Linked DNA regions of Anolis sagrei. The protein of the gene in region 1 interacts with the protein of each later gene in a pairwise test. Links are inferred from orthologs where the notes say so. Each region holds a gene or a part of one and is shown in the gene's direction. Other genes may lie near its edges.

Region 1 (7,051 bases):
GTTGGTTGAATAAATGGGTCTGTGCTAGTTGGCACTGACAGTTGGATTAGGCCAAATGTCACCATCTGCTACATGGCCTAGATCCCAGGTCTTATCACACATGGGCTTATTTTCCTTCCAATTTACCACACACGCCTTAAAGATCATGCAAAGGTTTTGTTTTTTGTTTTTTCTTCTTCTGTATGTTGAAAGGCACAGGTTGACTGCCCCTTATCTGAAATACTTGGGACTGGAAGTGTTTTGGCACAGGTTGACTGCCCTTATCTGAAATACTTGGGACTGGAAGTGTTTTGAATTTCCGGTATCTGTATTTGCATACATTTACATAATGCCAAATCCTGGAAATGGAACTGATGTCTAAACCTGAAATTCATTGTTTCATATATAGATAGCCTGAAGGCAATTTTAACTCAAACGGATGCAGTTTGACACTACTCTAACTGCTATGGTTCAATGCTAAGGAATCATGAGAATTGTAGTTTATAATTGCCTTTAGCCTCTGTCAAAGTGTATTGATGACTTACCAAACACGCAGAATTCCATAGTATTGAATAAATCATGTTAAATTGGTGTCAACCTGCATTAAATTTACAGTAGATCAGGCATGGGCCAACTTGGGCCTTCCCTCCAGGGTTTTGGACTTCAACTCCCACAATTCCTAACAGCCTACTGGCTCATGCCTGATTTACACAGTAGAATGCATGCAGTTTAGCACCACTTTTAAATGCCAGGTCTCGATGCTATGGAATTCTGGGAGTTGTAGTTTAGTCCTCTGTCAAATAGCACTGATGCCTCACCAGGCTACATACAGACAGCTCTACAGCATTGAGTCATGGCAGTTAAAGTAGTATCAAACAATCCTACAATGTACTATGGACATACTTCTCCTTATGAACTATCTGGGACATTAAGATCTTCCTCACAGATGCCTTTGGTAGGGACGAGAGACAGGGCCTTCTCAGTGGTGGCCTCTCAGCTGCAGAACGCCCTTCCCAGGGATATAAGATCGCCCCCCTCCCTTCTGACTTTTTGAAGAAAGGTTAAAACCTGGCGTTTTGAAAAGGCCTTCGCTATTCCAGCATAATTATACGAAACCATGGAATGACCTGACGATGCAATTGAATAATGATTTTGACAAGGAGACACTCACAATGATGTTTTTTATGGCTTTGTACGGTTTTTTAAATATTTTATGCTAAATGTTTTTAACAGTATTTTATGATTGTTTTACTTGTTTATAATTATTGAGGCATCAAATGCTGCCAGCTGTGAACCGCCCAGAGTCGCCTCCGGGCTGAGAAGGGCGGTATACCAATATGGTAAATAAATACTTCTTCATCACACTAGAGAGAAAAAATCCACTTAAAATCCGGTTTCTGCCTCCTGCAGAATTCTGGGGTTTGTATTTTAGTGATGCTCCTCGTGTTCTTTTTTTTCTGCATTTTCCTGCATTTCATGATGTTCATTTTTTCTGCATTTCAGAAAAAAATGAAATGTAAAGATACAGAATGGAGGACGTGTGGCTCGAGAGCAGTACATGTTAAAAAGATCTCGGGGTCTTCATGAACAAGTTAAACATGAGCCAACAATGTGATGCGGCGGCAAAAAAACCAACGAGATTTTGGCCTGCATCAATAAGAGTATAGTGTCTAGATGCAGGGAAATCATGCTACCCCTCTATTCTGCCTTGGTTAGACCACAGCTGGAATATTGTGTCCAATTCAGGGCACCACAATTGAAGAGAGATATTGACAAGCTGGAATGTGTCTGGAGGAGGGCGACTAAAATGATCAAGGGTCTGGAGAACAAGCCCTATGAGGAGTGGCTTAAAGAGCTGAGCATGTTTAGCCTGAAGAAGAGAAGGCTGAGAGGAGACATGATAGCCATGTATAAATATGTCAGAAGAAGTCATAGGGAAGAGGGAGCAAGTTTGTTTTCTGCTACCCTGGGGTCTAGGGCGCAGAAAAAAGGCTTCAAACTACAAGAAAGGAGATTCCATCTGAACATTAGGAAGAACTTCCTGGCTGTGAGAGCTGTTCAGCAGTGGAACTCTGCCCCGGAGTGTGGTGGAGGCTCCTTCTTTAGAAGCTTTTAAACTGGGGCTGGATAGCTATCTGTCGGGGGTGCTTTGAATGCAATTTTCCTGCTTCTTGGCAGGGGGTTGGCCTGGATGGCCCATGAGGTCTCTTCCAACTCTATGATTCTAACCCCAGAGTTCTACAGGAGGCAGAAACTGGATTTTAAGTGGATTTTTTCGCTAGTGTGATGAGGCCCACCTTGAGCATCGCTTTGACAGGCACACAGCTCCGTATATATTTTTAGGAAGGAGCAGAGAAAAGCAAAGGAGGCAGTAGTGTCAATTAAGTAATAGTAGGTGCAACTCGTAGGGATGAGGGAAGCAGGTGCAACTCGTGGGGACGAGGGAGAGGGCATTTTCTGTGGTGGCCTCTCGACTCTGGAACTCGCTCCCCAAAGATATTAGGCAAGCCCCCTCATTGGCAGTCTTTAGGAGCTTGTTCCAATATGCCTTCCCTGAATGAAAGATTAATAATACCCTGATCTGACCAATTCTCTGCAAAATGTCCTCTGAAGCACTTTATTCTACTTTTTGGGGCAATTGACCCCACCCTACCCTCTAAAACCCGTTCAGACTCATTTCACTGCTGTCACACCCAGTGTTTTAAATTTTTAGTAGAATTGGCCCTGCCCACAGTGCTGGATCATTGTTTTTTTAAATGTTGTGTTTTATTGCTGATATGTTATTTATAATGGTTTTGTATTGTATTGTATTTTTTATTGCTGTGTTTGTTTATAGTGATTTATTGTATTGTCGGGCTTGGCCCCATGTAAGCCGGCCCAAGGCCCCTTGGGGAGATGGTGGCGGGGTATAAATAAAGTTTTATTATTTTACTGACACAAAAGCACAGTATGTCACAGCAAACGAGATCTATATGCTGGATTTCGTATCAAAAATCACAAGTTGAACACTTCCCAAGCGTCTAGGACTGTGTGATGTATTTTTGAATGATGCACACACATCCAAGTAAGGTGGCCTTTTGCAGTTGACAGATTGTGATTTTGTCGATGTTTATTGTTTCCAAATGCCGGCTGAGATCTTTTGGCACGGCACCCAGTGCGCCAATGACCATTGGGACCACTTTTATTGGTTTATGCCAGAGCCTTTGCGATTCGATTTTGAGGTCTTGATAACGGCTGAGTTTTTCCTGTTGTTTTTCCTCAATGCGGCTGTCACACGGTATGTCAACCGCTAGGCCTGTAGCCAGGATTTCGTTTGGGGGGGGGGGCTGAATTTTTTTCAGGGGGCGTTTCGGGGGGGGGTGAGTTTCGGGGGGGCTGAGTCTGAGTGAAAGAGGGTCTAGCCTAGCAAACCTTTTGTATCATTACCCCAATACCCTCATGCATATGGGATATATTGAGTATGGTGATCAGACCATAATATGAATAAACATAACTGTTTAAATAATGCACCAGTAAGGCCTTTTCGCGAACCACTGTGAGAATTTCGGGGGGGGGGGGGAGTTGAAGCCCTTCAAGCCCCCCCCCCTCCCCCTCCCCCTCCCCCGGCTACATGCCTGTCAACCTCAATAATCCAGACTTTTTTCTTTTCCACAATCGTGATGTCTGGTGGATTGTGTTCCAAAACTTTGTCAGTCTGGATTCAAGAATCCCACAGTATTTTTGCATGTTCATTTTCCACGACCTTATGATCCCACCAATTCTTTACTGCTGGCAGGTGGTACTTGTGACATAAGTTCCAGTGAATCATCTGGGCCACAGAGTTGTGCCTTTGTTTGTAGTCCGTCTGTGCAATTTTCTTGCCACAGCTGAGGATAAGGTCCATGGTTTCACCAGCTTCCTTGCACAGTCTGCTTTATTATTATTGTTGTTGTAGTAGAAGAAGAAAAAGTTCATTGTAAGGAAAATAAAAGCGGCGTGAAGTCACAATGGCCAGGTTTCCCATTGGAACCTTCTACCTGGAGCCTTCCGCGGCAGCTCTCCCATGCGCATGCGCGGCTTCCCGGGGAATGGCCGGAGGGCCCACGTGACCAGGCCGGGGAAAGGTGGGGGCCGGCAGTGGAGGGAGCCGGCGCTCTTGCCGCCTCCTCCTCCTCCTCCGCCGCCGCCGCTCTGCGTCTCTCTCGCTCTCTCTCTCTCTCTGAGCTTGCCTCTCTTGTGGGCCCGTCCGGCGGCGCAGAGAGGGGAGGGGGCGGGGAGGCGGATCCATCATGGCGTCTATGCAGGTGAGCAGCCTCCGGCGTCTCTTTCGTCCCCAGGTGGCCCTTTGGCGTTGGGAGGGAACGGCGTGTGTGAGGGGAACTTCGCCTGGCAGGAGAAACCATCCCCATCACCCCCCCTCCTCCCATTCGTGGTCCCGTCCTCCTCGAGTCGGATGAGGCGGACGATCCCACTTTGCCCTGCTTGAGGGGGGGAAGAGACATCGCTTAAAGAACCCCCTTTAGTCTCCTCTCCCCCCCCCTCCATCTTTTCCTTTTTGGTCTCTTCCTCCTTCAAGCGAATGAGGCGGACGGTCCCACTCTCCCCTTCTTTGGGGGTGGCTCTCTCCAGGTGGAGCGGGGAGAACAGGTGCTGCCTTTGGGAAGGGCCTTCTGGGCTGTGACAGATCCCTTCCTCGCCTCTCCTTCGCTGTGGGCGTTTTCTCCACACTGGAGTAGCCAACGTCGGGCTTTTAGGAAAGGAGGAAAAAGTGAGAGTTTGGGTCGAAAGGACGAGGCGGAAGCGGGCTCACTCCCAAGCCAGGAAGTGTGGAAAGTCATCTCGGCGTCCTTCTCCTCCCATTCTTTCAATACATTAGTCATGGTGTTGTATATGTTCTGAGAGTAGGAGTGGCCCAGCACTGCCAGGGACCAACCTTTTGGGCTTGGATTTGTTCTTACCTGCTGCCTACTGGTCTTCTAGTGCTTTTAAGGCCTTTGAGGTGACAATATTTAGTCAACAATGGCTTCTTAAACCATTTAAGGCAGGCATGGGCAAACTTGGACCCTCCAGGTGTTTTGGACTTCAACTCCTACCATTCCTAACAGCTTCAGACCCTTTCCTTTCTCCCCTCAGCCGCTTAAGTTACAAACATCCAACTTATTATATTATATTATTGACAATATTGGTCAACAATGGCTTCTTAAACCATTTAAGGCAGGCATGCGCAAACTTGGGCCTTCCCAAGTATTTTGGACTTCAGTTCCCACCATTCCTAACAGCTTCAGGCCCTTTCCTTTTCCCCTTCAGCCACTTATTATATTGTTGACAGTATTGGTCAACAATGGCTTCTTAAACCATTTAAGGCAGGCATGGGCAAACTTGGACACTCCAGGCGTTTTGGACTTCAATTCCCACCATTCCTAACAGCCTCAAGCCCTTTCCTTTCCCCCCTCAGCCGCTTATTATATTATATTGTTGACAATATTGGTCAACAATGGCTTCTTAACCCATTTAAGGCAGGCATGGGCAAACTTGGGCCCTCCAAATATTTTGGATTTCAACTCCCACTATTCCTAACAGCCTCAGGCCCTTTCCTTTTCCCCCTCAGCCACTTATTATATGTATTATATTGTTGACCATATTGGTCAACAATGGCTTCTTAACCCATTTAAGACAGGCATGGGCAAACTTGGGCCCTCCAAATATTTTGGATTTCAACTCCCACCATTCCTAACAGCCTCAGGCCCTTTCCTTTCCCCCCTCAGCCACTTATTATATTATATTGTTGACAATATTGGTCAACAATGGCTTCTTAAACCATTTAAGGCAGTCATGGGCAAACTTGGGCCCTCCAAGTATTTTGAACTTCAACTCCCACCATTCCTAACAGCCTCAGGCCCTTTCCTTTTCCCCCTCAGCCACTTATTATATTATATTGTTGACACTATTGGTCAACAATGGCTTCTTAAACCATTTAAAGCAGGCTTGGGCAAACTTGGGCCTTCCAGGTGTTTTGGACTTCAACTCCCACCATTCCTAACAGCTTCAGGCCCTTTCCTTTCCCCCCTCAGCTGCTTATTATATTATATTGTTGACAGTATTGGTCAACAATGGCTTCTTAAACCATTTAAGGCAGTCATGGGCAAACTTGGACCCTCCAGGCATTTTGGACTTCAACTCCCACCATTCCTAACAGCCTCAGGCCCTTTCCTTTCCCCCCTCAGCCGCTTATTATATTATATTGTTGACAGTATTGGTTAACAATGGCTTCTTAAACCATTTAAGGCAGGCATGGGCTAACTTGGGCCCTCCAAGTATTTTGGGCTTAAACTCCCACCATTCCTAGCAGCCTCAGGCCCCTTCCTTTTCCCCTCAGCTGCTTAAGTTACAAACATCCAACTTACAAATGACTCATAGTTAAGAACAGGGGTGAGACAAGAGGAAGTGAGAGAAAACTACCCCTTGGAAGGAAAATTCACTCCAGAAAGAGTTATGATGAGGAAAAGGTGCCTCCACTGAAGTTTTACCACCAATCCTTGTTTCCACAAAAGCCAAATTTTTCAAAATCCGATTATCACAAGGACAGAAAGTGAGGTGAAATCTTCTGAACAGGGGCACAGAAAGTGAAATAAACACCACAGGGTGTTTACCCTTCACTAAGCTACCCAAAGCGCGCGCCCCTCTCTATATATGATCGAATCCTAGAGTTGGAAGAGACCTCATGGGCCATCCAGTCCAACCCCCTACCAAGAAGTAGGAAAATCTCATTCAAAGCACCCCTGACAGATGGCCATCAAGCCTCTGCTTAAAAGCCTCCAAAGAAGGAGCCTTCACCACACTCCAGGGCAGAGAGCCCCACTACTAAACATCTCTCACAGTCAGGAAGTTCTTCCTAATGTCAGGTGGAATCTCCTTTCCTTAGTTTGAAGCCATTGTTCCACATCCTGGTCTCCAGGGCAGCAGTAAACAAGATATAGATATATAGAGAGGGAGAAAGAGAGAGCTGGAGATACACTTAAAAATGAACCTTTTCCAACTTACATACAAATTCAACTTAAGAAAAAACATACAGAACCTATCTTGTTCGTAACTT
Region 2 (7,364 bases), on another chromosome or scaffold:
CCACAATAGTGAGATAGACTCTTTGACTCCCAATTTCTGGGATATAAATAAATCTAATACTAAAAATCAATAAAAAATGAGACACACCTGTAACAGCAGAAAGGGGGGGGGGGGGGGAGAGAAGGGAGATGTATCTCCAGTGACCTTTAATCTTCACTACAGTGGTATAGCTACTTTAAGTAACAATTTTGGGAGGAAAGCGGAATGCAAAATGATAATAACAACATCATCAACAACAATGAGAGGCACCCCTGTAACAGTGTGAAGACAGGCAAGGGAGAGGAAAAGGATCTCCAGTGATGATACATCTCCACTACAAGTGAGATGGCCACTGTTGAGTCCCAAATTGGGTGAAAGCAGAATAAAAATATAGTAATATAATTATAACAGATGTAAAAAGAAGTGCATCTGTAACAAGGCAGACAAGGAAGGGAAGAAGGGTTTTTAGCAACCATAAATCTCCACTGTAGTGTAACACCCTCTATGAGTCCCAATTTTTTGTAGGGGAGGGGAGAAGGATATGGAGAAGGAGACAAAGACTGTAATAATGGAATTTAAGAAAATGTGCACCTGTAACAGCATGGAAGACAGGGAAGGGAATGGAGAAGGATCCTCGGTGACTATAAATCTCAGATATAGTGAGACAGTCACTATGAGTCCTAATTTAGGGGGTGAACGTGGGGTATAAATATAATAATAAATATGAAAAAGAGGTATATCTGTACCAGCAGTGGAGGCAGAAAAGAGAAAGGAGAAGGATCTTCAGTGACTATAAACCTCCACTACAAAGAGACAGTTGTTTTGAGTCCCAATTTGGGGATGAATGAAATATATCATCATCATCATCATCATCATCATCATCATCATCATCATCATCATCGGGTGTACTTTTTGGCAGGAAAGGGTGGGAAGAAGGATCTCCACCTACCATAAATATCCACTACAGTGAGATAACCACTACAGTGAGATAACCACTACAGTGAAATAATTGAGTCCCAGTTTGTGGGAGGGGCAAAGGAGGTAATAGTAATGATAAAGATAATAATAATGATAGGAAGGAAGGCAGGCAGGCATATATGTAACAGTGCGGAAGTTAGGAAAGGGAGGAGAGAGGGCTCCTCAGAGACCATAAATCTCCACTGTAGTGAGTCCCAATTTTGGGTTGGAAAGCAAACTAAATAAATAAATATGATAATAATGGAATTAAGAAGAGATAAAGGGCAGTACTACTAGTACTAATAGTAGTAGTAGTAGTAGTAATAAATATAATACTAACAATAATAATGCAATGAAAAGGAGGGAAAGCAGAGTAGAAATAAACGTAAAAATAATAATGGAATTAAAAGAAGGGAAAGCGGAGAACAAATAATAATAATAATAATAATAATAATAATAGTAATAGTAATAGTAATATGATCGGCACACTGGGTGCAGTGCCTAAAGATTTTGGTCTGCACTTAAACACAATCGGCGCTGACAAAATTACCATCTGTCAGCTGCAGAAGGCCACCTTACTGGGATCTGCACACATTATTTGCCAATACATCACACAGTCCTAGACAATTGGGAAGTGTCCGGTGCGTGATCCAATGCAACAACCAGCAGAGTGATCTTGTCTGCTGTGGACTCATCTTATTCTGTTTCAAATAATAATAATAATAATAATATAATCAAAAGGAATAAAAGAAGAGTCCAAATAAATATGATAATAGAATTAATAATAAATATAATAATAAAAATATAAATAATATAGCTAATAATAGAATTAAAAGGAGGGAAAGTGGAGTAAACAAATATAATAATAATAATAATAATAATAATAATAATAATAGAATTGAAAGGAGAAAAAGAAGAGTCCAAATAAATATAATGACAATTAAATTAATAATAATAGTAATATAATTATAATGCAAATAATAAATATGATAATGGACTTTAAAAGAGAGAATTTGGAGTACTTGCAAGTATAATGACAATGGCATTAATAATACATATACTGAATACAATACTAATACAAATAATAAATATAATAATAGAAATAAAAGGAGTGAATGAAGAGTCCAAATAAATATGACAATTAAATTAATATAATAATAATAATAATAATAATGCAAATAATAAATATAATAATGGACTTTAAAAGAGGGGATTTGGAGTACTAGTAAATATAATGACAATGGCATTAATAATAATCAATATAATTAAAAATGTAATGTTCGTTTGTGGGATTAGCATAACTCAAAAACCACAGTGTAGACCTCACAACCTCTGAGGATGCTTGCCATAGATGCAGGTGAAACGTCAGGAGAGAATGCCTCTAGAACATGGCCATATAGCCCGAAAAAACCCACAACAGCCCAGTGATTCTGGTCATGAAAGCCTTCGACAATACATTATTATTATTATTATTATTATTATTATTATTATTATATATAAACTGGGCCACAGCAACACGTGGCAGGGGGACGGCTAGTCATAAATATAATAATACATATACTAAATATAATAGTAATACAAATAATAAATATAATAGTGGAATTAAAAGGAGGGGGGAAAGAGCCCAAATAATTATAATGACAATTAAATTAATAATTGTCTTGTTACATCCTGAATAGATTACTGCAACGTGCTCTACGTGGGGTTGCCTTTGAAGACTGTTCAGAAACTTCAATTAGTCCAATGGGCGGCGGCTAGATTACTCACCGGAGTGTCATACATGGAGCATACCACCCACCTCCTATGTCAGCTCCGCTGGCTGCCGATCCAATTCCGAGCACAATTCAAAGTGCTGGTTTAGACTTACAAAACCCTATATGGCTCCGCCCCAGTGTACCTGTCCGAACATATCTCCTTCTATGTCCCACCCCGGAGTTTAAGATCTGCTGAGGGGGCTCTGCTCTCGGCCCCACCTTTATCACATGCAAGACTGGTGGGGACGAGGGACAGGGCCAGGCATGTAGCCGGGGGGGGGGGGGGCTCGGGGGGCTTCAGCCCCCCCCCCCCCGAAATTCTCATGGTGGTTCGCGAAAAGGCCTTACTGGTGCATTATTTAAACTGTTATGTTTATTCATATCATGATCTTATCACCATACTCAATATATCCCATATGCATGGGGGTATTGGGGTAATGATACAAAAGGTTTGCTAGGCTAGACCCTCTTTCACTCAGACTCAGCCCCCCCCCCAAACGAAATCCTGGCTACGGGCCTGGACAGGGCCTTCTCGGTGGTGGCTCCTCGCCTGTGGAATGCGCTCCCTGGGGAAATTAGGACATCAACATCCCTTCTCTCCTTCAGAAGGAAGCTAAAAACCTGGATGTGGGACCAGGCCTTCAGGTAAGCTGGCAGATGGACAAAGACAACCAATAATGACCAGAGTAGGAAAGGACAATGACGATGATAGATGGTTTACGGACTTGGATTTGGTGAACATTGACCACAAGATGTTTTTATTGCTGCTAGTATACTGTTTGATTGTTTTAATTAGTTATAACTGACATTATATGGCAAATTTGTGTATTGTATATTGTATTGTATTTTGTGAATTGTTGGGCATCGAATTGTGCCTTTTGTAAGCCGCCCTGAGTCCCCCCTAGGGGGTTGAGAAGGGTGGGGTAGAAGCGCCCCAAATAAATAAATATAATAATATAATAATGCAAATAATGAATATAATAATGAAATGAAAAGGAGAGAAAGTGGAGTCCAAGCAAAGAGAATGAGAATGGAATGAAGAAGACAGAAAGCAGGGTATCAATCTAAATAAATAATAATATCAATAATAATATCAATCTAAATAAATCTAAATAAATAATAAATAAATAATCAATCTAGAGAACAACAGCTATATCTAGCAACCCTCCAGGAGCGCCTCACCCTCGCCTCCTGCTTGAGGGTGCCAAAGAAGGGCTGCCTACGAGGCCCCCACCCTCCTTTCCCGCCCCTCACAGTAACGACAAGGAACGAGTGAGGAACGAACTACCCCCTTCCCTCCCCTCCCCTCCCCCAAAGTGACAGCGGCCCAGGGGGCTGACCTTTCCCTCAGCGCGCGTGGCCATCTCGCCGCCTCCTCCTCCTCCTCCCATTAAAGACACATAAACAAAGCCGTCTCGCGCAGGGGAGGGGAGGGGGGGGTGGCGGCTGAACGGAACAGCCCAACGGTGAAGCGCGAGAGCAGGAGGAGGGAAGAGGGGAGGGGGATTTAAATCCCCTCAGGGCACACTCGCGACGGGAACTACATTTCCCATAGTGCCTCGGGAGAGAGGGAGGGGGGCGGTACCTCGCTGGAGTGAGTGAATGAGGGAGGAGGAGAAGTCGGGACCCGAGGCGCCGCGGGGAGTCCGTCCCTCTGTGAGGTAAGCGCCGGCGCATGCGCAGTGGCTCCCTCTTAGGCCCTGCGTCGTCCTCCTCCTCGGGTGTTATTTTCGAGGGGCCCCCGTGCTCACCTTGTGTCTCCCTCCTCGCGCCGGCGGTTGGGGCCTTGTCCCCCTCTCCCCTCGCCACCTCAGGATGTCGGAACAGACGGGCTTGGTGATGCCGCAGAGCCTGGACAGGTAATAAAGCGAAGGGGGAGAGGCGGCCTTGGTGGTGGTGGTGGAGGAGGAGGAGGGTGGGCGCCATAGACACCGGGACGACTGGAGCCTTTGGGGACACAATTAAGAAATCTTGCTGACTGGAAGGTTGGAGATTCCCTCAATAATCTACCCAACCAGGATGTTGTGAGTTTTCCGGGCTGTATGGCCATGCTCCAGAAGCATTCTCTCCTGACGTTTCGCCTGCATCTATGGCAAGCATCCTCAGAGGTAGTGAGGTCTGTTGGAACTAGGAAAATGGATTTATATATCTGTGAAATGACCAGGGTGGGACAAAGAACTCTTGTCTATTGGAGCTAGGTGTGAATGTTTCAACTGACCACCTTGATTAGCATTTGATGGCCTGGTAGTGCCATCTATGGCAGGTATCTTCAGAGGTCGTGAAGTCTGTTGGAAAGTAGGCAAGTGAGATTCATATATATATATATATATATATATATATATATGCTAGCTTATATATATATATATATGGAAAATAGAGGAAGAAAATGTGGAGGCCGTGACAGACTTTGTATTTCTAGGCGCAAAGATTGCTGCAGATGCAGACTGTGGCCAGGAAATCAGAAGACGCTTACTTCTTGGGAGGAGAGCAATGTCCAATCTCGATAAAATAGTGAAGAGTAGAGACATTTTTTTTATTTATTTCGGGGTTCTTTTACCCCGCCCTTCTCACCCCCGAAGGGGACTCAGGGCGGCTTACAAAAGCAAAGGCACAATTTGATGCCTGCATCACAGAACAATCAAAACACAAAATTACATCAATTCACAGTTAACAACAATTCATGCATTATACCAATAAAATCAATAAAAGCAATACAAACCCAATTCCTTCTCCTACATGGTCAGTGTTCGCTAACTCATAGTTCTAATTTTCAGTTCCACTTCGTCAATCCTGTTGGTCTTACTCGCCTGATTGTCTTATTTAATTGCCAGATTGCCCAAAGGCCTGGTCCCATAACCACGTCTTCACCCTCCTCCTGAAGGAGAGGAGGGATGATGATGCCCTGATTTCCCCCGGGAGTGAGTTCCACAGGTGAGGGGCCACCACTGAGAAAGCCCTGCTCCTCATCCCCACCAGACTCACTTGTGACAGTGGTGGTGTCGAGAGCAGGGCCTCCCCAGATGATCTCAGACTCCGGGGTTGGACGTAGAGGGAGATACGTTCGGACAGATACACTGGACCGGAACCGTACAGGGTTTTGTAGGTCAAAACCAGGACCTTGAATTGTGCTCGGAACTGGACCGGCAGCCAGTGGAGCTGACACAGGATGGGGGTGGTATGCTCCCTGTATGTCGCTCCGGTGAGCAGTCTGGCTGCCGCTCGCTGGACTAGTTGAAGTTTCCGAACAGTCTTCAAGGGCAACCCCACGTAGAGAGCGTTGCAGTAGTCTATTCGGGATGTAACAAGAGCGTGGATCACCGTGGCCAGATCAGACTTCCCAAGGTATGGGCGCAACTGGTGCACAAGTTTTAATTGCACAAAAGCTCTCCCGGCCACCGCCGAGACCTGGGGTTCCAGGCTCAGCGGTGAGTCCAGGATCACACTGGCAACAAAGATCCGCATAGTCAAAGCCATGGTATTCCCTGTAGTAACCTACGGATATGAGAGCTGGACCTTAGGGAAGGCTGAGCGAAGGAAGATAGATGCTTTTGAACTGTGGTGTTGGAGTAAAGTTCTGAGAGTGCCTTGGACAGCGAAAAGATCCAACCAGTCCATCTTCCAGGAAATAAAGCCCGGCTGCTCATTGGAGGGAAGGATACTAGAGACAAAGTTGAAGTACTTTGGCCACATCATGAGGAGACAGCAAAGTCTGGAGAAGACAATTATGCTGGGGAAAGTGTAAGGTAAAAGGAAGAGGGGCCGACCAAGGGCAAGATGGATGGATGGCATCCTTGAAGTGACTGGACTGACCTTGAAGGAGCTGGGGGTGGTGACGGCTGACAGGGAGCTCTGGCGTGGGCTGGTCCATGAGGTCACGAAGAGTCGGGGACAACTGAATGAATGAACAACAACAATATATGCTAGCTGTCCCCTGCATGCGTTGCTGTGGCCCAGTTTGTTGATCTGGTAAATAAAGTAATGAGGAAGTGTTGGTTTCTAATATATGTAATTTCTTTATGCTTGTTGGGTAAACAGTATTTCTTGCTGTTTCTTTGTCAGTGTTGATGTGGAGATTGTCTGTTTGTCTCCTCTGGAACATTCAACATATAATTGTCCTTCTTTAGAGGTTCCTTTCAAATCTATGATACTATATTTGTGTGTGTGTGTGAGTCATATATATCTCTCTATATCTATGAATGGATGGCTCTTTGTCAGGAGGGCTTTGATTATTTTTTCTTGCCCTGGTAAAGGAAGTTGGACTGGATGGCCTTAAATATTTTCTGTTGGTCTTGGGAGTTCTGTGTGGGAAGTTTGCCCCAATGCAGTAGTTGGTGGAGTTCAGAATGCTCTTTGATTGTAGGTGAACTATAAATCCCAGCAACTACTAATCCCAAATGTCAAGGTCTATTTCTCCCAAACTTCATCTGTGTTTATATTTTGGCATATGGAGTATTCGTGCCAAGTTTGGTCCAGATCCATCATTATTTGAGTCCACAGTGCTCTCTAGATATGGGTGAACTACAACTCCAAAACTCAAGGTCAGTGCCCACCAAACCCTTCTAATGTTTTCTGTTGGTCATGAGAGTTCTATTTGCCAAGTTTGGTTCAATTCCATCATTGATGGAGTTCAGAATGCTCTTTGATTATAGGTGAACTATAAATCCCAGCAACTAC
Region 3 (7,709 bases), on another chromosome or scaffold:
TTGATCACCTATACTTCCCAGTGTCCAACCTCCTCCTCCTGAGTCAGGTCTTGGAGCATGTGGTGGTCTCCCAACTCCAAGGATTTTGGGATGATATGGATTATCTACAGCCATTTCAATCTGGTTTCAGGCCTGGCTATGAAACAGAGACAGCTTTGGTCGCCTTGGTGGATGACCTACTCAGAGAGCTAGATGGAGGAAGTGTGTCCTTGTTGGTTCTCCTGGATCTCTATGAGGAGCGGCTTAAGGAGCTGGGCATGTTTAGCCTGAAGAAAAGAAGGCTGAGAGGAGATATGATAGCCATGTATAAATATGTGAGAGGAAGTCCTAGGGAGGAGGGAGCAAGCTGGTTTTCTGCTTCCCTGGAGACTAGGATTATTCCTGCTTCTTGGCAGGGGTTTGGACTGGATGGCCCACGAGGTCTCTTCCAACTTTTTGATTCTATGATTCTATGGAATGTGGACCAATGATAGAGAATGGCTCCATCAATATCGATGGCATTGGCTTCAACAATGTGACCAGCTTTAAATACCTCAGCTCAAAGATCACTTCTGCTGGTGACATACTGGCAGATGCCACGGACATGCAAATGTCACATGAAGTGGAGAGGAACGACAGACGTAATGTGGGATAAGAAGATCCCAATTCATCTAAAGTTGAAAATCTACAGGATTGTGGTGAGACTGGTCACTCTATACGCCACTGAGTGCTGGCCGACCACGAAGGCTGTCAAGTAAGTTCTGCACACTGTGGCAATGCAGATGCTCGGATGGTCAACGGGTGTTACCCTGAAGTACAGGATTCCGAATGATACAATGCGCTCCATCTTTGGAGTTGATCTGTTTGGTGAGAAGATGAAGGAATCCCACCTGAGATGGTTTGGACATGTGCAACAAAGGGACGAGGCCAAAACCTTGCAGAATATGGAAGTTGCAGGTGCCAGGCCACGTGGCAGACCTAAAATGCGCTGGTTCGACCGCTTGAAACGGAACATGGCCCAAGCAAGACTCACAACGAGAGACGCGACTGATAAGAACAAGTGGAGAACAAGAAACAAACAAGGAAGATGAAGAAGTTATAGATGCAAAGCATAAACCAATATATTGCTCTTGTTGTGCCTTTTTACAACTCAGCCTTGAACATGTTTGGATTCTTCCCGGACCAGAAGTTGTAGTTTTCCTCCCGTAAAGGAGACCTTTGCGCTCTTTGATCGAATCGCCCTGCGGGTTTAACGGAAGACGCGTCAGAACACGGTTTATGAATGTATCTGCCAAAACAGACATTTAACAAAAACATACCACCTCAATTCCAGACTCAGGCGTATCTCAGAGGGATCTCTATGGGAGGTAAATAGGAGATATAGGTGTTTCGGCCTCACGGATGTGCATGCAAAGAGGGCAGAGTGCACCATTGTAAACTTTCATCCCAAAACGGGTTCATCCTGGAGTTACCTGGAGAGGCGGGAAATAAATACAATTTATAATAATAAAAAATAATAAAAGTAATAAATAATGTATTATTATTTATCAGTATTCTGATTTATTATTATTATTATTAATTCTATTTTATTAAGAGTAATATAATTTATTATTAGTATTACTAATTATTAGTAATATTTTTGTTGTACTATTATATTTTTAGTATTTATATTACAGTATATTACGGCAAGGCTGCATACTCTCACCCAACCTTTTCAACTTGTATGCAGAACACATCATGCGAGGATGTGCGGGGCTGGATGAATGCAAAGCTGGGGTGAAAATGGCTGGAAGAAACACCAACAAACTCAGATATGCAGATGACACCACTCTGATGGCCAAAAGCGAGGAGGAGCTGAGGAGCCTTCTAATCAAGGTGAAAGAAGAAAGCGTAAAAGCTGGGTTGCAGGTAAACATCAAAAAAACCCAAGATTATGGCCACATGAATGATTGACAACTGGAAAATAGAGGGAGAAAATGTGGAGGCCGTGACAGACTTTGTATTTCTAGGCGCAAAGATGACTGCAGATGCAGACTGTGGCCAGGAAATCAGGAGACACTTCCTTCTTGGAAGGAGAGCAATGTCCAGTCTCGATAAAATAGTAAAGAGCAGAGACATCAGACTGGCAACAAAGATCCATTGCCTAGTCAAAGCCATGGTATTCCCTGTAGTCACCTACGGATGTGAGAGCTGGACCTTAGGGAAGGCTGAGCGAAGGAAGATCGATGCTTTTGAGCTGTGGTGTTGGAGGAAAGTTCTGAGAGTGCCTTGGACTGCGAGAAGATCCAACCAGTCCATCCTCCAGGAAATAAAGCCCGTCTGCTCACTGGAGGGAAGGAGACTAGAGACAAAGTTGAAGTCCTTTGGCCACATCATGAGGAGACAGGAAAGCCTAGAGAAGACAATTATGCTGGGGAAAGTGGAAGGCAAAAGGAAGAGGGGCCGACCAAGGGCAAGATGGATGGATGTCATCCTTGAAGTGACTTGACTGACCTTGAAGGAGCTGGGGGTGGTGACGGCTGACAAGGAGCTCTGGCGTGGGCTGGTCCATGAGGTCGGAGACGACTGAACGAATGAAGAACATATTATTATTTATATTTTATTATTTAGTATTCATTTTATTATTGTATTATTATTTATATTTTTATTTGTATTCTTAATTATTTTTAGTAATACTTACTATTACTATATTTTATTATTATTCTATTATTTTTGTATTTATTATTATTATTATTTATTAGTATTCTTACTTATTAGGAATATTATTTACTATTATTACATTTTATTATTATTCAGTTATTAGTATTCTTATGAATTATATTTCATTATTAATTAGTATACATATTTATTATTCTTAATTATATTATTATTTATTTATTTTATAAATTTTATATATATTATTGTTTATTAAGATTTATTATTTACTATTATTATATTTTATTATTATTCTATTATTGCTATCTTTATGAATTATATTTTTTATTAATTAGTATCTATATTTATTAATTTTAATTCTATTATTATTAATTTTTATTAATTTTATATATATTATTGTTTATTAAGATTACTTATTCTTAATATTATTATTTACTATTATTATATTTTATTATTATTCTTAGTATTCTTATGAATTATATTTCATTACTAATTAGTATCCATATTTATTCTCCTTAATTATATTATTATTTATTTTTATTAATTTTATATATATTATTGTTTATTAAGATTATTTATTCTTAATATTATTTACTATTATTATATTTTATTATTATTCTAAGTATTTTATGCATTATATTTTATTATTAATTTGTATTTTTATTTATTATTAATAATTATAGTATTTATTTTAATTATATATAATTAGTAGTAATATTATTATTTAGTATTATTATATTTTATTATTATTCCATTATTAGTATTCTTATGAATTATATTTCATTATTAATTAGTCTCCATATTTATTATTCTTAATTATATTATATTATTATTTATTACTTTTATATATTATTATTTATTAAGATTACTTATTCTTAATAATATTTATTAGTATTCTTATGAATTATATTTCATTATTAATTAGTATACATATTTATTATTCTTAATTATATTATATTATTATTTATTAATTGTATATATTATTATTTATTAAGATTACTTATTCTTAATATTTATTAGTATTCTTATGAATTATATTTCATTATTAATTAGTATACATATTTATTATTCTTAATTATATTATTTATTAATTTTTATTAATTTTATATATATTATTGTTTATTAAGATTACTTATTCTTAATATTATTTACTATTATTATTATTATTGTATTAGTATTATTATGCATTATATTTTATTTTTATTTATTATTATTAATTATAGTATTACTTTAATTATATATAATTAGTAATATTATTATTTACTATTGTTATAGTTTATCATTATATTAGTATTATATTTTATTATTAATTAGTATTAATATTATTCTTAATTATATTAATTATATATTATTAGGATTATTTATTAGAAGTAATATTATTTGCTTTATTTTATTATTCTATTATTTATTAGTATTATTCTTTATTATTAGTCTTTATTATTATTATTTTAATTATTTTTACTGACACAAAACCACATTATGACACAGCAAACGAGATGTATATGCTGGATTTTAATTTAATTTTGTTTAAGTAATTTTTTGTTTAATTATATTATTATTATTATTATTATTATTATTATTATTTATGTGTAGAAAATGAGACAGAACGGAGGCCCCGCCCACTCATAATCACGTGACCGACTAACGGCTCTAACGGTCAAACCTTTCGAGTCTATGAGGACTCAGTAGTGGGCGGGGTTTCCAATCAACCCCGCCCACCCTCGGTGCCAAGGCAACCGCCCACGAGCCTTTTTCAAAACCGGCCAATCAGAGGACGGAAACAAAACCAAAGGAAAACAACCTTGCCAGCGACAAGAAGCGAACGAATAACAAGTCGAGTTTGAAGGACGCCCCGCCTCCAGGATTCCCCGATGCTGATTGGATGAAAGCGGGAATCAACAAATTACGAAAGCCCCGCCTACGGGGATTCCCGATGCTCATTGGATGAGGAGGCGACGCGAGTCCCGCCTACAGGATTCCCCGATTCTGATTGGAGGACGTGCCTCCTCCTTACCTGACTAGGAGGGAGGGTGAATTGGAATTCCCCGACGCTGATTGGAGGGCGGGGAAGGGCGCGACCCCGCCTACCAAGATGTCGGCGCCCATGAGCGAGGAGGGAAGAGCTTCGCCGTCGAGGGGGTTAGTCCAAGTTCTTCGCCTCAGAGGGAAGCGGGCGAGGTGGGCCAAGGCCTTGTTTGTGGGGAAGGGGAAGGGGGTGGGAGGGGAAGCCCCCTTTCCCTTGCTTTTCTGGCTCCAACTGACCTTAAAGAGGTCCCTCTTGGGGGAAGGGGAGGCCTGAGGGACTGTCCCCTCCCCCACACCCCAAATGAACTCATTGGAAGCGTTAATTAGGGACCCCGAGGCCTCCTTCAGGCTCCCAAGGGACATGCCCAGGCTTGCTTCTTCCATCAAGCCTCGCCAGGAACTCACAGGCAGTTCAGCTTTATTGTTTTGGCCAAAAGTGAGAGCAAATAGGTAAAAAGAAAGGTTTTCCCTGACATTAAGTCCAGTCATGGCCCACTCTGGGAGTTGGTGCTCATCTCCATCTCTCAGCCCTAGGTTTCAGCAGTGACCAGGGGAGCATTCGCACAATTAAAACTTGTGCGCCAGCTGCGCCCATACCTTGGGAAGTCTGACTTGGCCACGGTAGTCCACGCTCTGGTTACATCTCGTATAGACTACTGCAATGCTCTCTATGTGGGGTTGCCTCTGAAGATTGCTTGGAATCTTCAAATGGTCCAACGATCGGCAGCTAGGATGCTAACAGGAGCGGCACTCAGGGAGCATACAACTCCTCTGTTGCGCCAGCTCCACTGGCTGCCAATTTGCTACCGGGCACAATTCAAAGTTCTAGCTTTAGCCTTTAAAGCCCTAAACGGTTCTGGCCCGACCTACCTGTCCGAACGCATCTCCCAGCTAGGACATTAAGATCGTCTGGGGAGGCCCTGCTCTCAATCCCGCCGGCTTCACAAGCATGTCTGGCGGGGACGAGAGACAGGGCCTTCTCAGTGGTGGCCCCTCGGCTGTGGAACAACCTTCCAACAGATATTAGATCGGCCCCCTCCCTACTGACGTTCCGGAGAAGAGTGAAGACCTGGCTCTTCGAACAGGCATTCAACTAAGCAGTGCAATTGATCAATTATTGAAACATGGAACAATGGACAACGAGATCGGATTCTGATTCTATTGATGAGACGTGATGGATTAGTTATGTTGATGTACTGATGTATTGATGTTGATGTTGGGGTTAATTAATTGTTATGCTACTGCTTTTAGATGTCTAATGATTTTGTATTGTGTATATTGAATTGGTTGTTAACTGCTTTGAGTTGCCTAAGGGCTGAGAAGAGCGGTATACAAATGAAGTAAATATAATATAAATATATATAAGCCGAAGAACCAGCATTGTCTGTAGACACCTCCAAGTTGATGTGGCCAGACGGTATGGAATGCTGTTAGGTAATAGTATGATAGCTGGATCTGGAAGCTTGGCGCATTACACTGTGTCCGCTTCGCTCCTTCAGGAGCGCTGTTTGTGCAACGCAGAACAGAATCCTAGAGTTGGAAGAGACCTCATGGGCCATACAGTCCAACCCCTTGCCAAGAAGCAGGAATATTGCATTCAAAGCACTCCTGACAGATGGCCATCCAGCCTCTGTTTAAAAGCTTCCAAAGAAGGAGCCTCCACCACACTCAGGGGCAGAGAGTTAGTCACAGGCCTTTCAGCCTTACAGTTTTTGCCAAAAGTGAGAGCAAATAGGTAAAGGGAAGGGTTTTCCCTGACATTAAGTCCAGTCATGGCCCACTCTGGGGGTTGGTGCTCATCTCCATTTCTAAGAACCAGCATTGTCCGTAGACACATCCAAGGTCATGTGGCCAGCATGACTGTACAGAGTGCCTTTAGGTAATAGTATGATAGCTTGGTCTGGAAGCTCGGCGCATTACACTGTGTCCGCGTCGCTCCTTTGGGAGCGCTGTTTGTGCAACGTGGACAGAACATGTCACTGAGACAGATATTATAGAAGGAATGTAACGGTAAAACTCTTACCCGAACCCTAACCCTTACCGTGAACCTAACCCCTAAACCTTACCCTAAGCTAAACCCCTTACCATAATCCTTACCCAAACCCTAACCCTTAACCTTACCCTAAACCTTATCCAGTAATAGTATGATACCTAGGTCTGGAAGTTCAGAGCATGACGCTGTGTCTGCTTTGCTTCTTCATGATCTCACCAGGAAGGGAGTTCCATAGCTGGGGAGAAATCACCGAGAAGGCCATGTCTCGTGTCCCCACCAATCATGCCTCTGACAATGGCGGGACGGAAAGCAGGGCCTCCCCGGAGGATCTTAATCTCTGTGATGATTCATAGGGGGAGATGCGTTCGGACAGGTAATTTGGACCAGGGCCGTTTAGGGCTTTATAGGCCAAAGCCAGCACTTTGAACTGTGCCCAGTAGCAAACTGACAGCCAGTGGAGCTGGTGTAACATGGGAGTTGTATGCTCCCTGTATTCATCTCCAAAGGATTTCTTGTAAAAAGAACAAGGGGCTTTCCATAGCTAAGATAGAAAGGACTCCATTCACCTGCCTTTGATAACCAGTGCCACTTACTCCAGTCCACAAACAGCTACTTAACTCACTTCCTTTTCTCTTTAGTGACTGCTGTGGCTCTTGGGAATGGCAAGATCAGCAGCAAAAAAAGGCCTGGGACTCACCGTTTTAGCTATCCAAAGTATTCATTCCTGTTACGTCACGAATAAAGGATCAAAACTTCAAGCAGCATGGATGCCTGACACCTTCTGGAGCATCTCCTGAAATAAAAACTAGATTATACCAAGGATATAAAGGTCTTCTCTGGGCTCCTGACATTTTCGAATTCATTGCCAAAGGATTTCTTTTCATTAAAAACTATCAAAGATAGGACTCTGTTCACCTGTCTTTTGGGAATCAGCACAACTCACTCCAGTCTACAATCTGCTTCGTCTTCCTCCTTGCAGCGTCTCTTCCTTTTCACCTCAGCTATGGAGCTAGTGTTCCTGATCATCAATGGCATGGCGATGATTTTGGACATTGCT
Region 4 (7,310 bases), on another chromosome or scaffold:
GCCCTCCGTGAGGTCATTGGCTGTTACTAGGTGAAGTGGCCCTTTTTGAGGCCACTGCATCAGAGTGGCCCTCCGTGAGGTCGCTGGATGGGCTGTTGCTAGGTGAAGTGGCCCTTTTTGAGGCGACTGCATCAGCTAGAGTGGCCCTCTGTGAGGCCACTGGATCAGCTGTTGCTAGGTGAAGTGGTCCTCTGTGAGGCCACTGGATTGGCTAGAGTGGCCCTCTGTGAGGTCGTTGGATTGGCTGTTGCTAAGTGAAGTGGCCCTTTTTGAGGCCACTGCATCAGAGTGGCCCTCCGTGAGGTCGCTGGATGGGCTGTTGCTAGGTGAAGTGGCCCTTTTGGAGGCCACTGCATCAGCTAGTGTGGCCCTCTGAGGTCGCTGGATCGGCTGTTGCTAGGTGAAGTGGCCCTTTTTGAGGCCACTGCATCAGCTAGAGTGGCCCTCCGTGAGGTCATTGGCTGTTACTAGGTGAAGTGGCCCTTTTTGAGGCCACTGCATTAGAGTGGCCCTCCGTGAGGTCGCTGGATGGGCTGTTGCTAGGTGAAGTGGCCCTTTTGGAGGCCACTGCATCAGCTAGTGTGGCCCTCTGAGGTCGCTGGATCGGCTGTTGCTAGGTGAAGTGGCCCTTTTTGAGGCCACTGCATCAGCTAGAGTGGCCCTCCGTGAGGTCATTGGCTGTTACTAGGTGAAGTGGCCCTTTTTGAGGCCACTGCATTAGAGTGGCCCTCCGTGAGGTCGCTGGATGGGCTGTTGCTAGGTGAAGTGGCCCTTTTTGAGGCCACTGCATCAGAGTGGCCCTCCGTGAGGTCGCTGGATGGGCTGTTGCTAGGTGAAGTGGCCCTTTTTGAGGCCACTGCATCAGCTAGAGTGGCCCTCCGTGAGGTCGCTGGATCGGCTGTTGCTAGGTGAAGTGGTCCTCTGTGAGGCCACTGGATCGGCTAGAGTGGCCCTCTGTGAGGTCATTGGCTGTTACTAGGTGAAGTGGCCCTTTTTGAGGCCACTTCATCAGAGTGGCCCTCCATGAGGTCGCTGTATTGGCTGTTGCTAGGTGAAGTGGCCCTTTTTGAGGCCACTGCATCAGCTAGAGTGGCCCTCCGTGAGGTCATTGCTGTTACTAGGTGAAGTGGCCCTTTTTGAGGCCACGGCATCAAAGTGGCCCTCCATGAGGTCGTTGGATCAGCTGTTGCTAGATGAAGTGGGCCCTCTGAAGCCATTGGATCGGCTGTTGCTAGATGGTGGCCCTTTTTGAGGCCACTGCATCAGCTAGAGTGGCCCTCTGTGAGGTCATTGGCTGTTACTAGGTGAAGTGGCCCTTTTTGAGGCCACTGCATCAGAGTGGCCCTCCGTGAGGTCGCTAGATCGGCTGTTGCTAGGTGAAGTGGCCCTTTTTGAGGCCACTGCATCAGCTAGAGTGGCCCTCTGTGAGGCCACTGGATCAGCTGTTGCTAGGTGAAGTGGCCCTTTTTGAGGCCACTGCATTAGAGTGGCCCTCCGTGAGGTCGCTGGATGGGCTGTTGCTAGGTGAAGTGGCCCTTTTGGAGGCCACTGCATCAGCTAGTGTGGCCCTCTGAGGTCGCTGGATCGGCTGTTGCTAGGTGAAGTGGCCCTTTTTGAGGCCACTGCATCAGCTAGAGTGGCCCTCCGTGAGGTCATTGGCTGTTACTAGGTGAAGTGGCCCTTTTTGAGGCCACTGCATTAGAGTGGCCCTCCGTGAGGTCGCTGGATGGGCTGTTGCTAGGTGAAGTGGCCCTTTTTGAGGCCACTGCATCAGAGTGGCCCTCCGTGAGGTCGCTGGATGGGCTGTTGCTAGGTGAAGTGGCCCTTTTTGAGGCCACTGCATCAGCTAGAGTGGCCCTCCGTGAGGTCGCTGGATCGGCTGTTGCTAGGTGAAGTGGTCCTCTGTGAGGCCACTGGATCGGCTAGAGTGGCCCTCTGTGAGGTCATTGGCTGTTACTAGGTGAAGTGGCCCTTTTTGAGGCCACTTCATCAGAGTGGCCCTCCATGAGGTCGCTGTATTGGCTGTTGCTAGGTGAAGTGGCCCTTTTTGAGGCCACTGCATCAGCTAGAGTGGCCCTCCGTGAGGTCATTGCTGTTACTAGGTGAAGTGGCCCTTTTTGAGGCCACGGCATCAAAGTGGCCCTCCATGAGGTCGTTGGATCAGCTGTTGCTAGATGAAGTGGGCCCTCTGAAGCCATTGGATCGGCTGTTGCTAGATGGTGGCCCTTTTTGAGGCCACTGCATCAGCTAGAGTGGCCCTCTGTGAGGTCATTGGCTGTTACTAGGTGAAGTGGCCCTTTTTGAGGCCACTGCATCAGAGTGGCCCTCCGTGAGGTCGCTAGATCGGCTGTTGCTAGGTGAAGTGGCCCTTTTTGAGGCCACTGCATCAGCTAGAGTGGCCCTCTGTGAGGCCACTGGATCAGCTGTTGCTAGGTGAAGTGGCCCTTTTTGAGGCCACTGCATCAGCTAGAATGGCCCACCATGAGGTCATTGGATTGGCTGTTACTAGGTGAAGTGGCCCTTTTTGAGGCCACTGCATCAGCTAGAATGGCCCACCATGAGGTCATTGGATTGGCTGTTACTAGGTGAAGTGGCCCTTTTTGAGGCCACTGCATCAGCTAGAATGGCCCACCATGAGGTCATTGGATTGGCTGTTACTAGGTGAAGTGGCCCTTTTTGAGACCACTGCATCAGCTAGAGTGGCCCTCTGTGAGGCCACTGGATCAGCTGTTGCTAGGTGAAGTGGTCCTCTGTGAGGCCACTGGATTGGCTAGAATGGCCCTCTGTGAGGTCGTTGGATCGGCTGCTGCTAGGTGAAGTGGCCATTTTTGAGGCCACTGCATCAGAGTGACCCTCTGTGAAACCACTGGATTAGCTGTTGCTAGGTGAAGTGGCCCTTTTGGAGGCCACTGCATCAGCTAGTGTGGCCCTCTGTGAGGTTGCTGGATTGGCTGTTGATAAGTAAAGTGGCCCTCTGTGAGGTCGCTGGATCAGCTGTTGCTAGGTGAAGTGGCCCTTTTTGAGGCCACTGCATCAGCTAGAGTGGCCCTCTGTGAGGCCATTGGATCAGCTATTGCTAAGTGAAGTAGCCCTCTGTGAGGCCACTGGATTAGCTGTTGCTATGTGAAGTGGTCCTTTTTGAGGCTACTGGATCAGCTAGAGTGGCCCTCCATGAGGTTACTGGATCAGCTGTTGCTAGGTGAAGTTGCCCTCTGTGATGCCACTGCATCGGCTTGAGTGGCCCTCTGTGAGGCTACTGGTTCAGCTGTTGATAGGTGAAACGGCCCTTTGTGAGGCCACTGGATCGGCTGTTGCTAGGTGGAGTGACCTTCTATGAGGCCACTGGAATGGCTAGTGTGGCCCTCTGAGATCACTGGATCAGCTGTTGCTAGGTGAAGTGGCCCTCTGTGAAGTCACCGGGAAAGAAATACGACATATGTATACGAGGTGAAGGGAGGGAGGAAGAAAGGAAAGAAAAAGGGATGGAAGGAAGAAAAAAGGGGGAGGAAGGAAAGAGAAAGGAGGAAGGAAGGAAGGAAGGAAGGAAGGAAGGAAGGAAGGAAGGAAGGAAGGAAGGAAGGAAGGGAAGAGATAGGAAAGAAAGAAGAGGTATATGAGGGAAACGGAGGAAGGAGAGACAGCAGCACAGAGGCTTGTTGCTCCTCTTCCATCTGTACTAGAATTAAACCCTTTGTCATCTCCCACTCTCAATGCTGTCAGATCCTGGGAGATGTAGTTTTGCAAGGGCTTTCATCTTCTCTGGGATAGAGTGTTAATGCGGCCCCCAAGGACAACTCCCAGGATTTTGTAGCTTTGTGCCACGGCAGTCCAAAGTGGCATCAACCCGCATTAATGTACGTTGAATTGCAGCTTCACTGCTCATCATCACCCGCGGCTTCAAGCGAGCCAAGACATTGGAGGCCGCAGCCTGCTTGGGATCCCATGCTCTGAATGTCAACATTTCTGGCCCGAGGCCTCCCAAAGCAAGGCCTCCATTGTGCTAGTTGTTGTGCGCCTTTGCTCACATTAGTATTCCGGTGGTGCAGTGCGCTCCCTTCTCGTTCCATTCATGTTCAGTTCAATGTCAGCCCGGTGCATTTGCAAAAAATGATGCATTTCCTCTGTTTCGAGGTTGGAAAACCCTTCCGTTCTTGCAGCAATCGCTGAGCCGGCAAGACCGCAGCTCCGCTTCCTGTGTGTACATGATTTGGGCCTAGCAATATATACATACATACATATATATACATATATAAGATAGGCAAAAATATATAAACAACACAAGGACCAAGATTTTGGTCCAAAATCCAAGTTTGGTTTTGTTCCAACCGTTTGTCGTTGTGTGTCTCTCTTTTTCTGTACTTTCTAAAAGGTAACCCACAAAACACAAAAGCCTCTGCTTTGCATACTGACAACTTTTTTTTCTCTTTCGGCTTCCTCATTGCGTTATTATATATATATATTCGTCGCTTGCCAGAAATGAAAAGAAGAGGGGTGGAGCGAAAAGTGGAACGCAAGAGGAAAAGAAGACCTCGCGGGTGAGGCTTTTGGGGTGTCGTCTGCTCCCCCCTTCGGAGACATAAACGTCGCCACAAACTTCCTCCCAGGGAACCGTTTTTGCACTTTGTCAAGAAGAAGAAAATTTTCCTTTTCGGCTTGGAACAAAGTGCCTGTTATTCGGACGCCTTTGGCACCGTTTTGGACTGCCTTCCTCGTCATGGCACACCTGCAGTTTAAGGATGTCTTTTGGGTAAGCGCCCATGCCTTGCCATCGAGAAGAAGACGCAACACTTTTATTATGTCTAATAAGTGCCTGGCACCTGTCGCCACAATTATTTTGGTTGAGTCGCACTCAACATTGAGTGCAATGAACTATTTACTGTATAAACTGGCTACTACTATTATTATTACTACTATTACTATTATTATTTTGGCTCGGTAGAACTGAACATTGAGTACATTCAACTATTTACTATATAATAATAATTTCTTTCAACTTGGTAGAACTGAACATTGAGTGCACTCAGTTATTTACTTTTTTTTTCTCGGCTTGGTAGAACTGAACATTGAGTGCACTCAACTATTGATTATATAATAATAATAATAATAATAATAATTATTATTATTATTATTATTGGCTTGGTAGAACTGAACATTGAGTGCACTCAACTATTGATTATATTATTATTATTATTATTGGCTTGGTAAACTGAACATTGAGTGTACTCAGTTATTTACTATATAATAATTTTTTTCTTGGCTTGGTAGAACTGGAGTGCACTCAACTATTTACTACATAATTATAATAATAATTATTATTATTATTATTTTCGGCTTGGTAGAACTGAACATTCGCTTTGAGTCACCTGAGGGCTGAGAAAAGCAGTATAGTAGTAAATAATTGAGTGCACTCAGTGTTCAGTTCTACCAAGCCAATAATAATAATAATAATTATTATTATTATTATTATTATTATATAGTAAATAGCTGAGTGCACCCCAGTTCTACCAAGCCAAGAAAAAAAATTATTATATAGTAAATAACTGAGTACACTCAATGTTCAGTTCTACCAAGCTGAAAATAATAATAATAATAATAATTATTATTATTATATAGTAAATAGTTTAGTGTACTCAAAGTTCAGTTCTACCAAGCCTATTATTATTATTATTATTATTATTATTATTATTATTATTGGCTTGGTAGAACTGAACATTGAGTGCACTCTACTATTGATTATATAATAATAATAATAATAATAATAATTATTATTATTATTATTATTATTGGCTTGGTAGAACTGAACATTGAGTGCACTCAAATTATTTACTACTATACCGCTTTTCTCAGCCCTCAGGTGACTCAAAGCGAATGTTCAGTTCTACCAAGCTGAAAATAATAATAATAATAATAATAATAATAATAATAATTATTATTATTATTATTATTATATAGTAAATAGTTTAGTGTACTCAAAGTTCAGTTCTACCAAGCCTATTATTATTATTATTATTATTATTATTATTGGCTTGGTAGAACTGAACTTTGAGTACACTAAACTATTTACTATATTATTATTATTATTTTCAGCTTGGTAGAACTGAACATTTGCTTTGAGTCACCTGAGGGCTGAGAAAAGCGGTATATAAATAAAGTAAATAAATAAACAAACATTGAGTGCACTCAACTATTTACTATATTAAAATAATAATAATAATAATTATTATTATTATTATTATTGGCTTGGTAGAACTGAACATTGAGTGCACTCATCTATTTACTATATTATTATTATAATAATTATTATTATCAGCTTGGTAGAACTGAACAATGAGTGCACTCAACTATTTACTATATAATAATAATAATAATAATAATAATTATTATTATTATTATTATTATCGGCTTGGTAGAACCGAGCGTTGAGTACACTCAACTATTTTCTATATAATAATTATAATTTTTTTCGGCTTGGTAGAACTGAACATTGAGTACACTCAACTATTTACTATATAATAATTTCTTTCGACTTGCTAGAACTGAACGCTTAAGCGGCTGAGGGTGAAAAGGAGGGGGCCTGAGGTGGTTAGGAATGGTGGGAGTTGTAGTCCAAAACACCTGGAGGGCCCAAGTTTGCTCATGCCTGGTGTAGATGCACCATCAAAATGCCTGATTCAGACTAACGCCGCTTCCTATTCCAAGACACAATGATATTTCCCTGGGAAAATCTGACATTGGGCTTAATCTGGTGTGAAACGGGTGAATCAGTCGGAGCGTAATGGTTGGGATGATGCATCCGAAGGCAGAAATTCACATTTTTTGCAGCAACTTCAAGCTGGATCCTTCTCTGCTGGGTTCGTCTCCGTGCTGGGAATGGCAAAGGCAATAGTAGGTTTGGCTTGCGGCTCTTTGTAACTTCCAATGAGTGGAATCGTTGGGTTTTTCTTTCAACTTATTATTTTCCTAAAGGAGAACCTGATCTGCTCCTAAGAGAATCTCACTCTTCTTAGGGTATCATTGGAGGGCCTTTTTGGGGTACTTTTTGGGTGCATTTGCACTGCAAAACGAATACAGTTTAATTGCAATGGCTCAATGCGATGGGATCCTGGGAGTTGCAGTTCGGCAGGGTCTTGGCGTGTTATATTTCCTCTGTTCCTTCTGCGGTTAATTGAGAACTTCTCTTTTTCCAACCAAAGCCCTTCCAGGAACAAAGGCAGTGGTTTGTCTCACAGCTGGTAGTGCTTTCCACCCAATTTGGACTGAATGCAATGCTCTTATTTCAAAAGTGGCGTCAAACTGCATTAATTCTATAA

The links.
Region 2: the proteins of UBE2W (region 1) and MARCHF5 interact in binary tests that used the Homo sapiens proteins (3 or more experiments, as listed by UniProt). The link is inferred for Anolis sagrei from reciprocal best matches to the Homo sapiens genes UBE2W and MARCHF5.
Region 3: the proteins of UBE2W (region 1) and RNF26 interact in a two-hybrid assay, tested with the Homo sapiens proteins (2 studies listed by BioGRID and IntAct). The link is inferred for Anolis sagrei from reciprocal best matches to the Homo sapiens genes UBE2W and RNF26.
Region 4: the proteins of UBE2W (region 1) and PSTPIP1 interact in binary tests that used the Homo sapiens proteins (3 or more experiments, as listed by UniProt). The two-hybrid records come from large-scale screens. The link is inferred for Anolis sagrei from reciprocal best matches to the Homo sapiens genes UBE2W and PSTPIP1.

Annotation. Positions count from the first base shown.
Region 1 is NC_090024.1:42,444,597-42,451,647, forward strand, and holds the start of UBE2W (ubiquitin-conjugating enzyme E2 W), read left to right. Parts: upstream 1-4,049; 5' UTR 4,050-4,247; coding exon 4,248-4,262; intron 4,263-7,051. UniProt on the Homo sapiens protein: Accepts ubiquitin from the E1 complex and catalyzes its covalent attachment to other proteins.
Region 2 is NC_090023.1:187,038,622-187,045,985, reverse strand, and holds the start of MARCHF5 (E3 ubiquitin-protein ligase MARCHF5), read left to right. Parts: upstream 1-4,347; 5' UTR 4,348-4,505; coding exon 4,506-4,549; intron 4,550-7,364. UniProt on the Homo sapiens protein: Mitochondrial E3 ubiquitin-protein ligase that plays a crucial role in the control of mitochondrial morphology by acting as a positive regulator of mitochondrial fission and as an important regulator of immune response.
Region 3 is NC_090027.1:39,268,371-39,276,079, reverse strand, and holds the start of RNF26 (E3 ubiquitin-protein ligase RNF26), read left to right. Parts: upstream 1-4,691; 5' UTR 4,692-4,812; intron 4,813-7,290; 5' UTR 7,291-7,655; coding exon 7,656-7,709. UniProt on the Homo sapiens protein: E3 ubiquitin-protein ligase that plays a key role in endosome organization by retaining vesicles in the perinuclear cloud.
Region 4 is NC_090029.1:10,961,209-10,968,518, reverse strand, and holds the start of PSTPIP1 (proline-serine-threonine phosphatase-interacting protein 1), read left to right. Parts: upstream 1-4,287; 5' UTR 4,288-4,714; coding exon 4,715-4,747; intron 4,748-7,310. UniProt on the Homo sapiens protein: Involved in regulation of the actin cytoskeleton. May regulate WAS actin-bundling activity. Bridges the interaction between ABL1 and PTPN18 leading to ABL1 dephosphorylation.